Elephas maximus indicus: one gene and its partner. The protein of the gene in region 2 interacts with the protein of the main gene of each other region in a pairwise test. Links are inferred from orthologs where the notes say so. Each region holds a gene or a part of one and is shown on either strand. Other genes may lie near its edges.

Region 1 (7,677 bases), on a different chromosome or scaffold from region 2:
TTTCCCGGGGGCTGTACATCTGGCCTCCCCCAAGGTTATCCCCATAGCCTCCGGGCCCCATCGAGTGTCGGAGTGATTCCACCTGCAGGCAGCACAGGAAGGCACGATAGGAGAAGCTGCGGAAGAAAAAGTTCTTGTATCCTAAAGGGATGGAAACAAGGTTTGAGAAGGCCCAACTCAAAAGGAGATGGAGCATCTGACCTGGGAAGCAGAATAGGAATCTCCGTTGAGCCCAGGCATCCCCAGAAACATGTCTCCGGATCCTGAGAGATTGAAAGAGCCGCCAGAGCCTTGGGGGAACAGATAGGGAATTAGGGGAAGTACAACAGAGCCCGAAAGGGCAGACAGGTGACTCACCACAAATCTGTTTCTAAAAACCCTTTTGTACTAGCTTTGTTGGGCTGTGCTACTATACCCAAACTATCCACAAAACAACATTCCAACACTTGGAAAAAAGAGGCTGTTCCTGAGCCTCCTCTGGCCACCCACTGGAAGAAAGGCAGAAGTAACTACACTGAAGTGGCCTCTGTCCCCTGACATCCCCACCTTGTCCCCTCTCACCCCCAAGCACCCCCTCTGCTATGATCCTGCCTAGATTAGGAAGTGGGAACAAAAGCAGGAAGTGTGCAAAACAGCTCGGCAGGGTGGCAGTGGGATCCACCTGCAGAGGAAGGGGGTGTCGGGGAGCTGGTGCGGCTGTGGCCCCCCTGAGTGACTGACACTGCAGTCTTAACAGCATAGATGTTTGCCTCCTCTTGGAATTTTCCAATGTTTTTCTTATAGCGAATCCGTTTGTTGCCAAACCAGTTGGAGACCTGTGGGGTATTGGGCAGAAAGGAGGGTCAGGAGGACACCCTTCCTTCTGAAACTCCTTATTCAGTGGGAGCTGAGAGTTTTTTACCCAAAGACTCTTTCTCCCCAAGCCACCCACCCCCAATACCTGAGAGACAGTAATGCCACACTTCTTGGCGAGCTCCTCCTTAGCCTCCTCGCTAGGATAGGGGTTACTCAGGTGGGAGTAGAAGTACTCATTTAGGACCTCGGTGGCCTGTTTGCTGAAGTTCCGACGTTTTCGCCTACAGGGGAGGGAGAAGGGTGATGAGGATGCTGGTGTCTTAGAAGGGGCACCATGTTCCGTAACTGCAGAGGACACCACTGTCACAAGGTACCATGTTATACAACATGGCGGCTTGGGGACTGGAGAGGAATGGGAAGGAACCCCTGGGTCCCACCTGGCATCCAGGAAGCGGGAACGCAGGATCATGACGGCCTCACAGGTGCTCTGCTTGAGCTGCATCTGGATGGCGCTGAACTTTCGATGGATGATGCTCACCATGCGCTCCATTTCCTTGGGTGCCACAGGCCGCGTACGGCTCTGCTCCCTCAGCAGATTCATGACGTGGGTCGTGAACTCATTACATGCCTGCATGGGGGCCCATGCAGGCATGCAATGAGGAGGTGAGGAGGAGTCCTTTGGCTTTGGGACTTCCTCCAAGAGCCTCTCCCTCCATTCATCCCAGCCTTCTCTCCTCACCTGCTCATACTTCTCCAGCTCTGAGTGGTAGATGTGGCGAATCTGGGCAAGTTTGCTGCGATAGTCCGAGTGCTCAATGGAGTTGTCAGGGGATACGCCACCCCCAGAGGCTGCAGCTGCTGCAGCTGCTGCTGCTGAGCCCCCTCCTTTCTCAGGTCCAGCCACACCCTCTGCCAGAAGCATGTTGTCCAAGCGCATCAGCTGCGGGTCCACCGGCTCCTCCTCTTGGGAGCTTCGGATGCTGAGGCCTAGCGTGCAGGCAAAAGGATTTAGGGACCTAGGTCCCCCACACCCAGCTCTCAGCCCTCCTTGTGCCTCTTAGAGCCCCAAGTCTCCCAATTTTGGTTTGCTCCCCAGTGCCCTTTGCAACCTCCCTGACTCCTCACTTTCCTCGTGGCCCCAAGTTGTCAAACTCTTAGCCCAAGACTTGTTGTGAACAGGGTTCCGTCCCCAGAGCTGAGGAATCAGAGAGAGACCACATACCGGTTTTCTCCTTGATTTCACACAGGACGCTAAAGAGAGCAGGCTTCATTCGGTGGCAATTTAGGGCGTGTTTCCTTCAGAGGAATGGGAGTGGGGAAAGAGAGAAAAGTTGAGCAGCTATAGAAGTGGAGCAGACGATGAAAGAAGAGAGCCTGAAAACCAGGGGAGAGGCAGGAAAATCTGTGGAAGGAGAAGGGAAATAGAAAGTGGGGTTGGGGGTTGAAGGGATTTGGGGGGACTTGGGAAGGGGCAGCTCCCATATTACGGGAGATGTGAGAAAGCAGCTTGGCTTCAGGAAGATTGAGGGAAGATGCTAAAGAAACCATGGGTGGGCTGGGGGCTTTGGGGAGTGGTCTAGGAAGCGTGCAGAGAAAGAGTTTGGAGGGGGTCACTGGAGAAATGAGGGTGACTAGGTAGATTTCAGAGGAAAACAGGAGGCTGGGGTGTAAAAGAGTATCAGAGGGAGCCAGAGAAGAATTGGGGGTGCTGAGCTCAAGTAGGGAGTCTGGAACTGAGCAGGGTGGAAGATATGACTCGCTGACTGTCTGGCTGAGCTGAGGGGGAAGGGTGGGTGAGGAGTGTTAGGAGCTCTGGGGAGGGGGTGCAGGGGCCCCCAGGTCTGGAAAATTAGGGGAGAGGATGGCATAGCCTGAGAGCAGTTTCTTAGTCTGGGAGCCAGAAGGGGGCTCCAGAGACAGAAGGACGTTCCAAGGAAGTGTAGGGGTCAGCGAGAGGTTAGGGGGGGGTGAGACTACCTGGGGTTCCCTCTGTGAAGGTTTCAGGGCCTGGGGGTGAAGGGAGGTTTAAGAGGGATCACTTATCTCAGGGGTCCCAGGAGTAAGGAGAGGATAATCGAGAGCTGAAGGATTCCGGAAAGGCTTCTGGAGTTAGAGGGCTCCCAGAAGATTCAGAGACTGTGAATAGGGTCCTGCCAGGTCTGTGTAGGGTCCCGGGGTGGGGGCACTCACTTGGCCTGGGCCTCGTCCAGGCTCTGGTCGGTGATGGTCATTATCTGCTGCAGAATGTCCCCGATGTCTTGCTTCCCTCGGCCTCCCGGGACCCCCCCGCTGCCCCCACCGGGGTCTCCGCCACCGGGAGGCTCGCCAGGGCCCCCAGGCTCCCCACTCACCAATCCCAGACCCCCCCGGCCCCCGCCTGGAGGGGGCGGCCCCAGCAGCCGCTCATCCATAGCTGGGGGGGGCCCTGGGGCCCCCTCCCTGCTCCGCCCCTCCCCCCGCCTGGTTACTTCTCCCCCCAACCTCGCCGGGGCCGCTGCTCCCTCCGCCCCCACCCCCGCCCCTCTCCTCCCTCTCGGCTCCCCCGGGGGTTCACCCCGGCGCTGAAGGGAGACCTGGGGTACCGGCTGGGCCCCCCACAGGAGACCCCGGGCCCCCGGCGGCGGAGAAAATGGAGCCGGAGAGAGAGAGAGAGAGAGAGAGAGAGGAGGCCCAAGCGGGGGTGTGTGAGAGAGAGGGAGGAGGGAGGAGGGAGAAGGGGGGGAGCGAGGGAGGGAGGCGGGGGGAGGGGAGCCGCGGAGGAAGAGGAGGGGAGAAGGGAGGAGGAACAGGGAGGAGCTGGGGGCGGAGAGAGAGAGAAACAGAGGAACTGAGACCGAGTGGAGGAGGGGACAGGGATGAGGAGACGAGGGGAGGAGACTGGGTCATTGGAGGCAATACGGGAAGGCCCCCGGGCTGGACTTCCGTGGTCCGGGAGGGGGCGTGTTGGGGTTGGAGGGGGGCAGCCACCTGGATTCCGCGTCAGGGATCGCGGTGATGTGGACTCTCCGGCCGCTGGAATGCCTGGGTTCACAGACAGCTCAGTTCATATTTCTTGTCCTAATGACTCCCCTTCTAGTTCTATTTAATTAAAACTGGGAGAGGGGGACTGGGGGGGGGATAATTAGGGAGGTCTCCAGCTGCTGCTTAATGAGCCAGTAATTAACCAGCCAGAGAGGGGAGCTGGCCTCTGGCCAGCCTAAGGAGAAAGGCGGCCTCCGGCCTTACCTTCCCACCCTCCAACCCCAGCCCTCCAGACACTAGCCTTCAGTCCAGAGGGGAATTAAATTTATTCACACAACCAAAACATCAGACTGACTCCGAGCAGCGAGCAGAGGCGGCGGCGGGGACGGCGGGTGGGCAGGGCTAGTGGTCTGTTTCCAGCCTCTAGGCCCCTCAGCCCTGGGGCGGGGGAATGCCTTGGTGGGCGTCGGCAGACAGTCTTAATCTCTCTTCTTGCCCACCCACCCTTCCTTTCTTCTAACTGGGAAGGAGGGTGGGCTGTCTCTCCAGTCACAACCTTGGGACGTTTGCCTTTTCTTGCAAGGTGGAGGCCTGAGTTCTCAGACCCTGCCTGGTGGGTTGACTCCTAGGGATGTCTCGACAGCTCCTGCTGGAGATTCCCAACCACCCCCTGAGATCTAGGAGTGGGGTGTCCCCTGGTAGCTGGGATCCCCTCACCGCCTCAAGCTCCCAAGTACTTGGGGAGGGAGTTCAATGATCATCCTACCTTGCCTTTTTACTATTAACAGGGTTTGAGAATTTTCACCCCCTCTATTTCCCACGGGTGCTGGTCTAAAAAACCCAGTGCCATCGAGTCGATTCCGACTCATAGTGACCCTATAGGACAGAGTAGAACTGCCCCATAGTGTTTCCAAGGAGCGCCTGGCGGATTTGAGCTGCCGACCCTTTGGTTAGCAGCCGTAGCACTTAACCACTACGCCACCAGGGTGCTAGTCTAGAAAAAAAAAAAGGATGAATATTGAGATTTCTTTTGGGTCTTCCAGTCTCTGCTGCCCCTGCCAAGCAGGGTTGAGGGCAGGCAGTGGGCCGCCCAGCTTTGAGCCCCAGGAGCGCAGAGGGGCCAGTTCAGGTCTCAGCAAGTATGTGTGGGAGGTCTGGACCTTTGCTCTTCCATTCGTCCCCCACCCTGAACCCTCAGCAGCAACTCCAGGAGCTCCTGTCCTCCTGGGGGTAGGGGAGGCTCTGACCGCTGGGCTTCCATCCGCTGGCACTGGAGGAGTGGAGGGAGAAGGGTGTTGGTGAGGCTCTGAGGGGAGCCAGGGTTAGTGTGGGGATACAGGATACCTATGATGAGGATGGGGAGACTAAAGAGCAGGCAATGGGGCAGTTGTCTGGGTAGAAGGAGAGGTAGGGCCTGAAACAGAACAGGGACTAGGGGGCCAAGAGGTCTGGGTCTTGCCTTCTGGAGGTGTCTCACCTGGTGACTGAGGATGGTGCTGTAGAGCTGTTCTCTGTCCTCAAGAGGCCGGGGTGGGGCTGGGGCTCGGTTTGGGGGGATCTGGGGGACACAGAAGGTGGCCCTCTGCTCCTCCAGACGGCGGGACTGGGCCTCAGCCACTAGGTCCAGAAGGCGCTCTGTCTGCAGGGAGAGCAGGGAGGCCGAGCGGGGCCCTAGGGCTGGGGAGAGGAGGGGGAGGGCTCAGAGAACCAGAGAACTTGAGAGATGGGTGGGGGGGGGAATAGGGTGAGGTGATTAGGGACTTGGGGTTAGAGCTGAGGGGGTGTGATGGACAGTCTGGAGGAGGTGGAGGGGAGGGCCCACAATGGTCTTGGTAATGGGATCACGAAAGATGGAACCAGGGTTGGGAGCTCCCTGGGCGGTAGAGGTACCTGTGTGGCGGTTCCCTGGAGGAGGGGACGGAGGAGCAGATCGCCAAGGCCGAGTGGTGGTGTTTAGAGGGGGCCAGCCCTGTTCATCCTGGGAAGGGCCCTGATGCTGGGAGATGTCCGTTCCAGTCAAGCAGGGGTGGGTAGAGAAGGTGGAGTGGGCAGGGGGCTAGGCCAGCGGCCTGCTTCCTCTCTGTGTCTCCCTTCCTGCCTCAGTGTGCCCAAGCCCTTTTAAGTCTCCTGAGTTCTCCGTTGCTGGGTCTCTGCCTGGGTCCTCTCCCCTCCCTCTCGTCAAGTGTCAGTCTTCCCCCTTAGTGCCCGGCTCACCTGCTCACCATCCTCTTCTCCGTCCTGGGCTCTTTCGGTCTCCATCCCCTGGAGGGGAGAAACTGGTGGGGGAGGGGTGGCTGGGATTTGGGAAGAGTGCCAGAACCCTGGGTTCCAGAGGGGAGTGGGGGCTGGAAGGGGTGGGGGCCAGCTGGGGGCTAGATGCCTGGGTTCTGAGCAGGAAGCTGGGTTCCTGGTCAGCCCCCCCACGGGCCCCGCCCATCCCTGTCAACTTCCTCCAGTTCTCTTTTCCCACCCAAAGAGTTGCTCGACCTCTCTAGCCCCAGGGGAACACAGAGATCAGGAAAAGCTCCTCCAGCCGCAGGAGTTAGAGGGGGGCTCTCGGTGGGGAAGGACTCCTGCCTTTCTTATCCCCACAGCCTCAGCACCCCCATAGCCCCTGGCTTTGTTCCCTCCACCCCTGCCTCCCCTTCAGCTCTTTCTGTCAACACTGTCAACACAGGAACTAGCTACACAGGAAGTGGTTTCACTCCTCAGAACCCCCCAGCCCCTCCCCCGCCCAGGTCCGTTTCTTCTCCAAGATAGACCCTGACATAGGATTTGGCCCTCCCCACACATCCGCAGACCTATTGGGACTAGAAGGTGCGGTGTCCCAGTGAGAAGCAGAGTACACAGACCCAGGAATGTTCTGCCCTCAAGCTTATACACCTATACCCCCAGCACCGGCTCCAACACATGCTAAATATACAGTAAATATTGTGTATTTACTGAGTATCTAATAAATGTGTTGAACAATTATCCCTGACCTTAAGTTGTTTACAGGGGACAAGACGTGCACCAAATGAGAAAATGGAATGAAGTTCACTCAGGCAAATCATAGTTTAGTGCAGACAAGGGGCAGGGGAACTTTCCTCCGGTCATAAACGAGGGATATAGAAATGGAAAAGGGAGCAGACCACCTCCCTGCTCTCTCCTTGATTAATGCTGGTCAAGGTGGCTGTCACCAAGGCAGCAGCAGGACAGGTAGAGACATTTGAGGCCTCTAAATGGAGCCCTGGTGGCACAGTGGTTAAGAGCTTGGCTGCTAACCAAAAGGTTGGCAGTTCGAATCCTCCTTGGGAACCCTATGGAGTGGTTCTACTCTGTACTATAGGGTCGCTATGAGTCGGAATTGACTAGATGGCAATTTTTTTTTTTTTAAATGGCAACCTGCCACATTGGGGGCTTACACTGACTGACTTAGAGCATGAAGATCTGGTTCTACCACTTAATGCTGTGCAATCTTGGGCAAATACACCTCTCTGTGCCTGTTCCTAAAAGAAGAAAATGGGGGTTTTAATAGCCCATAGCTCATAGAGTTGATGTGAGGATTAAATATGATAAAGCACTTGGCACAAAATGAATGCTTGGTAAATGATAGCTATTTTTAACTTTCAAACACTTTACACCTCTGTGTCTTAGGCCCATCACTATTAGAGGTGTAACCACGTTGCTGAAAGGTGGATAAAGTTTCCCTTAAGATGCCCTCTCCATCTCCCTTTATTTAACTTGCGGCCTTAGGCATCTCCTATGTGGTCATCACTAAATGCCTTTGGGTGAAGGACAAAGAGTGGGCGGGTCCTAGTGTGTATGTGGGTTCTCCCTGGGCTACTAGACCCTTTCAGCGACCCTATATGAGTAAATTAGATTGGGATCCCAAACCTATTCTTGCTCTTTAACCATACTCAAAGCCCTCATCCAAATGTT
Region 2 (8,030 bases):
GTGGCAACCAGTCATGAAGCACAGCTCCCCAGTGGACTGAGGACCATCCCTTGGTGTGGGTGGACATGGGTGGAACATGGTGACCAGTCATGAAGCACAGCTCCCCAGTGGACTGAGGACCATCCTCACCTGTGGGTGAGTAAGGAGCACAATGAGAATTCTTGAACCACAGGATCCGGGCCATTTGACTGGACCAGAGCTCAGGCCCTATGATTCCCCTGACAATTCCTCCAGCCAGCTGTGTTTCTAGGTTAGGATTTTCTCAACAACTAAACCCAGATTTCACAGTGTAAGGAAATTTAGGACAAGCAAAAAGGAATACTGAGCATCTCCAATGGGAAACTATACATTCTTGAGAACTTGCCCTTTTAGGTTATCTGATTCGAACTTTTCATTAACTTTGAGCTATTGTACAATCTATGAATTGTAGAGAACTGCCTTAGTCATCTTAATCATCTAGTGCTGCTATAACAGAAATACCACAAGTGGATGGCTTTACCAAAGAGAAATTTATTCTCTTAGAGTTTAGGAGGCTAGAAGTCCAAATTCAGGATACCAGCTCCAGAGCAAGGCTTTCTCTCTCTGTCGGCTCTGGAGGAAGGTCCTCGTCATCAATCTTCCCTTGGTCTAGGAGCTTATCCATGCAGAAACTCCAGGTCCAAAAGATGCATTCTGCTCCCAGAGCTGCTTTCTTGGTGGTATGAGGTCTCCCTGTCTCTCTGCTCACTCCTCTCTTTAATATCTCAAAAGAGATTGACTTAAGACACAACCTAATCATGTAGATTGGGTCCTGCCTCATTAACATAACTGCCCGCTAATCCCACCTCATTAACATCATAGTTGTAGGATTTACAACAGGTAGGAAAATCACATCAGACGACAAAACGGTAGACAATCACACAATACTGGGAATCACGGACTAGCCAAGTTGACACTTATTTTGGGGGGACACAATCCAATCCATAATAAAAACTAAGTGCAGCCACCGCCCATCTGTTAGTGGAGGCTTGTGTGTTGCTATGATGCTCAACCAGTTTCAGAGGAGCTTCCAGACTAAAATGGACTAGGAAGAAAGACCTGCTGATCTGCCTCCAAAAATCAGTCAGTGAAAACCGTGTGGGGCACAATGGTCCAATCCTGCTGTGCATGGGGTCACCATGAGTAAGTGGTCTACCTGGGGGCAGCTAACAATAACAATGACAATGCAAATGATTTTTTTCTATGGACATGTAAATGGATTCTGCACAGGGTAAGGACAACCTTCCCCACACCCTCCACTAGCTAGTTTTGCACAATTTGCAAGTTAGTTCCAGTACTCTTGTTCTTTGCATTTTCCTTCGAACTGGCTCTAACATCTTACCAGTTTTCCCATGTAAAGAATGAGTTCAATAAAACATTTGCCACATGTTCATCAGTGAATGACAGTAAAATTCCTACTCATGTGATGAGTAAAGTCTAGTGTTTATGCGTGCCTGCCTGCGTGTGTGTGCTGTTTCGGACAACAGACGGAACAAATAAGTTAGTTATACAGCGTTATAGATTGAATTGTATCCCCCAAGAAGATATGCTGAAGTCCTGATCTCCAGTACCTATGAATGTGACCCTATTTGGAAATAGGGTCTTCGAAGATGTGATCAGTTAGGTTAACATGAAGTCATACTGGAGTAAGGTGGGTCCTAATCCTCTATGAGTGATGCCCTTATAAAAGAATAGTAGAGACAGAAAGAAAGACACAAGAAGGATGGCCATGTGAAGACGGAGGCAGACATTTGGAGTGCTGCATCTATAAGCCAAGGAGTGCCTGGAGCTAACAGAAGTTAGGAAACCCTGGTGGGATAGTGGAAACCCTGTGGTACAGTGGTTAGGAGCTTGGCTGCTAACCTAAAGGTTGGCAGTTTGAATCCACCAGGCACTCCTTGGAAACTCTATGGGGCAGTACTACTCTGTCCTATAGGGTCGCTATGAGTCTGAATCAGCTCAATGGCAATAGGTTTGGGTTTTTTTTTTTGGTGGTATAGTAGCTAAGAGCTACAGTTGCTAACCAAAAGGTCAGCAGTTCAAATCTACCAGGTGCCCTGTGGAACCCCTATGGGGCTATCCTATAGGGTCATTATGACTCAGAATCCATTCGACGGCAATGGGTTTAACAGAAGTTGGGAGAGAGGTACGGAATAGATTCTTGCTCAGAGCCTCTGAGGAAACAACATGGCAGACACGGTGACTTGGACTTCAAGGCTTCAGAACTGAGATAATAAATTTCCATTCCTACAAGCCACCCAGTTTGTGGTACTTGCTAAGGCAGCCCGAGAAAACGAATACATGTAATAATTACACAGTATGTCAGAAGTACCTGTACAAACCCCATGGAGAAGAAAGCAGGCTGAGGGAATATTACGGATTGAATTGTGTCATTCCCCCCTCCCCCCGCCCCGCATTTGTGCTGTGAACCCTAAACCCTGTAGTGGTCCTACTTTGTTCTATAGCGTTGCTATGAGTCAGAATCCACTTGACCACACGGGTTTGGTTTGGTTTTTGTAGTGGTTATAATCCCATTTAGGAATGGACTTTCTTTGTTATGTTAATGAGGAAGTATTAGTGTAGGGCGTGTCTTAAATCAATCTCTTTGGAGATATAAAAGAGATTAAACAAGCAATCAAGAAATGGAGAGTGAAAGAGAATCTCAAAATAGACAAGGGACTTCCCCAAGCACTGACAGAAAGCCTTGCCCTAAAGCCAGCCCTCCCCCGCCCCCAAATTCAGACTACTAACCTCCTAAACTGTGAGAGAATAAATTTCTGTTTGTGAAAGCCATCCATCTGTGATATTTCTGTTATGGCAGCACTAGATGACTAAGACAGGGAGATAGGATTTATACTGGGGACTTAAATTTTAAACCTGAGAAACTGATATTGAAGCAAAGGCTTCAGGGAGGTGAGAGAGAGAACCATGTGGATATGTCTGGGAAGAGTGCTTCAGGCAGAGGGAACATGCAGTGCCAAGGTCCTGAGGCAAAGCAGGTCTGGTGTGATCAAGGAGCAGCAGGGGGACTGATTTGATGCGAGCCGGTGAATGAGGAAGGTAGTGTGGGCACTGAGGTCAGACAGGCATGGTGGCAGGGAAAGATCACATAGGGTTTGGGGGTTCCTGTGAAGACTCTGGAAACCTTGGTGGCATTGTAGTTAAGAGCTACTGCTGCTAACCAAAAGGTCTGCAGTTCAAATCCACCAGGTGCTCCTTGGAAACTCTGTGGGGCAGCTCTACTCTACAGGGTCGCTATGAGTCGGAATCAACTCGACGGCAATGGGTTAATGGTGAAGAGATGGGAGCTCTGCCTGGGGGGGAGGAGGGTTGTTGAGAGGAGTGGGATAGTCTAAGACATTTTTAAAAGGATCATGCCCTACTAATTGCTGGTGCCCCCCAACTGACCCAGGCGAACTGAAGCAGTTTAAGCATCAGCCAAACTGGCCATCTTGATAAGCAGAAACCTAGCCCTTATTTTTAAGAGGCTTTCTCATTCATTTTTCTTCCCTAAGCCTCTCCAAAAGGTCCCCAGGTGGGGCAAATGGTTTTCCCTCAACTGCTAACTTCAAGGTTGGCGGTTCAAACCCACCCAGTGCCACTGTGGAAGAAAGGGCTGGTGATCTGCTTCTGGAAAGATTACAGCCAAGAAAACCCTACGGGGCAGTTCTACTCTGTAACACACAGGGTCACCATGAGCTGGAATCGACTCTATGGCAATGCGTTTGTTTTTTGTGGTTGTTTTTAAGCCTCTCCAGATCCTAAGCATCTGTTAAGGACAAGCCATGCCCTTATTCCTGGAACTCTGCTAGGCCATCAACCTTGTGATGCAGCACATGGGGGTACTGGGCCTTGCTGGGGTCGCGGATGGCGCTTGCACTGGATTTTCAGCTCTGCACAGGGCCCGAGTCTTACCTCTCTTTTATGTCCTTACCAGCCTGAGGCAGGGTTGGGCAGTCAGTAAGGCTGGCACATTCCTGTGGTTTCCCTCAAAGTGCTCACCAGTGTTCCTGCCGGCTCTCACCTAGCATGCCACCTCCCCCACCATCTCTGGGGCCACATCTGCAGGAGATGATGGGGAGAAAAGAAAAGACGCAGCAGCCAGAGAAGGCTCCTGCTGGACATACCAGAGAGCTCTGAGGCCAGACGGTGGGGTGGACTGGGCCTGGGCCTCAGCTGGCCCCTGGGCTTTCCAGCAATAGTTTGTACTGGGTTCTGGGTGACTGAAGACACCCAGGTCCTGCGGTTCTGAAGCCCCCACTGCCTTAAAGGCTTGATGGGAACCAAATAAAAGCTACTGACGAGGGTGAGGCAGGTGATGGCAAGGCTGGGCTCACAGCACAAGGCCCCTTGCTTATGTAATGCTCTGCTGTTGCCATCTTGGAATTCATACTAATTTTCTGAACAAGGGACCTTGAATTTCCATTTTACGCTGCACCTTGACAGTTATGCCGCCAGTCTTGACTACTGAGTTTTCGGGGGGCCTCTCTGCGTATTCCACCTGCCTCACTCACCCTGGCCCCTGCTCTGCTACACTTTGTCCCTGAAAAATGCATTCTGCATGTGGTTTCATGGTGTCTGTGGACCCATGCAGCCATATTAAGAATCTTATCCCTGCTGTTCATGCCTGGTCCACCTCAGTCATCCTCCAGCAAGTTCCCCATTCTGGGCCCTGGAGGAGGTGGGTGCAAGCTGAGCTGCCCTTCTTTACCGCTGTGTGTGGACTTAATATCGAGGTTCGTCCTGGGTGGGCCGTTCTAGAAAACGTTCACAGTCAGACAAACAATGTGCATTCGCACTGCGGAAGGAGCTGCCCTTTCCTTAGGTTCCTGGAGTGCTGCGGCCCGTGGGAATGGTCGGTACCTTGTAAACAGGCTATGCTGGGAGGCTGGCCCCTGACAGTACAGGCGTCCTCTGCCAGCGGAGCTCCGATGTTACCTTGACACAAGGGCCTGCTGGGGTCTCCTGGGCGGAAAGGTACGCTGACACCATGTGGACTGGAGACCCGGCGGACCCGGGGGCGTGCCTGCAGTTTTCACCCAGCCCACGCCGCCAGTCTCGTGGCCGGAAGGAAGCCCTCTGCCGAGGGTCGATGGGGGCCACCCATGCCGCAGGTCCCATCGACAGCGACCCCAGACGCCGAGCACAGCCTGCTGCCACGGGTTTGGGGCGAAGCGGGGCGCGCGCAAGTGCGCTCCGCAGTTTCATCCTAGCTCGGTAGAGGGGCGCCCCGCAGACAAAGGGGGAGCCGCGCACCCTGGGCGGGCCCGGTGCCTGCAGGCCGAGGGGGTCGGCGGCTGCATCCTCGGATAGTACAGCCCGGGCCTCCCTGCCTGACCGCGGAACATGGTCTCGCCCAGCCCGGAGCTGCGATCCCAGAGCCTCTTCCAGTGGCAGGGACGGCGCGGCGGGGGCGTGGCGCGCGCCCGAGGCCACGCCTATCGCTGCATAGTCATAAGGCCAGGAATCCCTGCCTGCGGGGCGGGCCGCTCCTCGCGCCCGGGCGCGGCCAGCTGGGGGCGTAGCCGGGCTGGGCGCGAGGCGGGGCGGAGCCGGCAGCTGGCCCACCCCCGCGCCGGGCCCCGCCCCCAGCCCCCGCCTCGCAGGCCGCGGGGCGGGGCCCGTGGCCGGCAGGCTCCGCCCCCGCGCTGAATATTGATGTGGCGCGCGTCGGCGTCGCCCTCCTCCCATTGAGCGAGGCTGTGTCGCGTGGCCCAGCGTCGGCGTGACGGTTGGACGCGGGCGCGGCACTGCGGGTCCCGATTGCTGCAGCCGCTTGTCAGTGTGATGAAGATTGGCACCCAGGTAAGCTGTCACTCAACCGCTCCGCCGCCGCCGCCGCAGCTCTCCGCCGCCGCCATCCCTATCAATCACGCGGGCCGAGCCGCCGCAGCCGCCACCCCAGCGCCGCCGCCCGGGTAGCGGCGGGCCGGCGGTGCCGAGGGGAGCCCACCCTTGACCCGCCACCCCGGGCAGGGGGCGGGAGGGGGGCGCGCGGGCAGCGGGTGGGGGAGGGGAGCTGGCGGCTGCCGGGGCGGGGGCGCTGTCCGTCCGGAGCTGACGCGGGGTCGCGCCGAGTTTGTTTTTGAGTGTCGGTTTAGGCAGAAGGAAATTTCTGGAAGGCGCCGCCGCCGCCTCGCTGGGCCCGCTGCGAGGCGCGCGCTCTTAACCGTCCTTTTCGGAGCGCGGCGCGCGCCCCTGCGCGGGGCGGGGGCGGCAGTGGGGGGAGGGGAGCGGGCCGCGGGCGCGCGCGGGCCGGGAGGGGCGGGGCTGGGAACCGGAGGCGCGCGCTGGGCGGGGCGGGGCTTGAGGCCGCGGGGGCGCGCGCACCGGAAGAGTGGGGGGGCTAGGGCCGCGGGGGCGCGCGCCGGCCGCGGGGGCGCGCGCCGGCCGCGGGCGGAAACGGGCTGCGAGGTCCCCGGTTTCTGTCGCGGTCGCGGGGGGACAGGTGCACCAGGCGGCGGGTCTCCGGGGCTGCCGGCGGCGGGGCTCGCGCGGTCCGGGAGGCGGGAAAATGGCGGCTGCGCGCAGGCCCGGCTTGAGGCGGGGTCGGGCCGCGCTGAGGGGGCGTCCCCAGCCGCGCGGCGCTCGGAGGCGCCCTGGCCTCGTGGAGCTGCTCCGGGCTCGCGGGGCGCAGGCCGAGCCCTGCCGACCCGGGGTCCCACACGCCGGCCCCGCCGCGGGACCCGTGCTTCCGCGCCCCGCGACCGCGCAGCTGGTGAAGGGGCGACCCCAGGGTGACCGGGGGACCCGAGCGCCCACTTCCGAGGGGCCGGCGCGGCGTTCAGACGGCCTGCGCCTGGGCTGTTTGCGGAGGGCTGGGGTTCCCGTTTGTAGGGAATTAGTTAAAAGTGTATTGTTTATACTAAATGGCAATTTTGAAATAGATGGCTGGAAGTCTTTGGCGTGGTCTGGCCGCTCGCAGGATTTTCACATTCCTTTAGAGAAAATGAGTCACTTAAGAAAAATCAAGTCTGCTTTCTTTCCTCCTAGTGGCTCTGGAAATGCCCTATTTTGACAGTGGCTCTGAGACTTGACCCGTTAGGCCCTTCATTTGTCATGGTTGACTCATAAAATACGACTTAGAATTTATTGATAGAAGCGATGAGGGCAGAAGTTACAGATACTTGGGGGCTGTGTGTGCGCGCACCAGCTTGTACATAAACAAGTGGACATTCGATACATTTGATGGTGGACTTGCAACAATCCAGGCTATATTGGACATGTTAGGGCGTGAAGAGGAACTCTGGTTGTGCAGTGGTTAAGCGCTAGGCTGCTAACTGAAAGATTGGAGGTTCAAACCTACCGGAACCCACCATCCGCTCTGCGGGAGAAAGATGTGGCAGTCTGCTTCTGCAAAGATTACAGCCTGGGAGACCCTATGGGGCGGCTCTTCTCTGTCCCATAGGGTCCCTGTGAGTCAAAATCAATTGGATGGCAACTTTTTTTTTTTTTTTTCTTAAGGGCGTGATAATTTAGTTTTTTAGATAGTAAGAATTGGCTTTATGTAAAATTGACTTTCCTTAGGAAGTAGATACATTCCACTTTAGTGTGGGAAAAACAACAACGCATCTTAAGCATCATTTCATAGTTTTCCCTGGTATGTTGGAAAAGTGGACTTCACTAAGTATTACAGGGAAGCATTGAGGTGAAATGTAAAACTCTTTGGCAGAATAGTTATTGGTGATATTCTCGAGTTGTAGGTACATTGGTTTGGAAGACAGCTGACAGACTACTCAACCTTGCCTTTCATTGTTTTCCTTTCCCCTAATTTACTCCTCTGGCTGCCAGCTTGTAGCAGCACATCTAATTAGCATGGAGAATGGTACCTGGATCATCTAGTTACAATGTTTCATTGAATCTAAAATGTACCTTTTGATATGCCACTCAAAGTGCTCACACTTTTAACCCACACAGTGCTGTTTTAGCATAGCAATGGACTGAGGCTTCCCGGGTCACATTGTGCTCGGGTTGATGGGAGGGGAAATGCTACGGGCTTGAAACAGTAACGT

Evidence for each region. The genes of interacting proteins can lie anywhere in the genome.
Region 1: the proteins of PKNOX1 (region 2) and PBX2 interact in binary tests that used the Homo sapiens proteins (3 or more experiments, as listed by UniProt). The link is inferred for Elephas maximus indicus from reciprocal best matches to the Homo sapiens genes PKNOX1 and PBX2.

Annotation. Positions count from the first base shown.
Region 1 is NC_064819.1:93,677,748-93,685,424, forward strand, and holds the start of PBX2 (pre-B-cell leukemia transcription factor 2), read right to left. Parts: upstream 3,220-7,677; 5' UTR 3,207-3,219; coding exon 2,986-3,206; intron 2,092-2,985; coding exon 2,018-2,091; intron 1,783-2,017; coding exon 1,535-1,782; intron 1,424-1,534; coding exon 1,233-1,423; intron 1,077-1,232; coding exon 941-1,076; intron 816-940; coding exon 662-815; intron 291-661; coding exon 202-290; intron 83-201; coding exon 1-82. Other genes in the region: GPSM3 (G-protein-signaling modulator 3), read right to left, coding at 4,889-5,026, 5,234-5,433, 5,647-5,752, 5,971-6,015. UniProt on the Homo sapiens protein: Transcriptional activator that binds the sequence 5'-ATCAATCAA-3'. Activates transcription of PF4 in complex with MEIS1.
Region 2 is NC_064820.1:226,908,398-226,916,427, forward strand, and holds the start of PKNOX1 (homeobox protein PKNOX1), read left to right. Parts: upstream 1-4,937; 5' UTR 4,938-4,995; exon of another isoform or gene 4,996-5,450; intron 5,451-5,682; exon of another isoform or gene 5,683-5,823; intron 5,824-8,030. UniProt on the Homo sapiens protein: Activates transcription in the presence of PBX1A and HOXA1.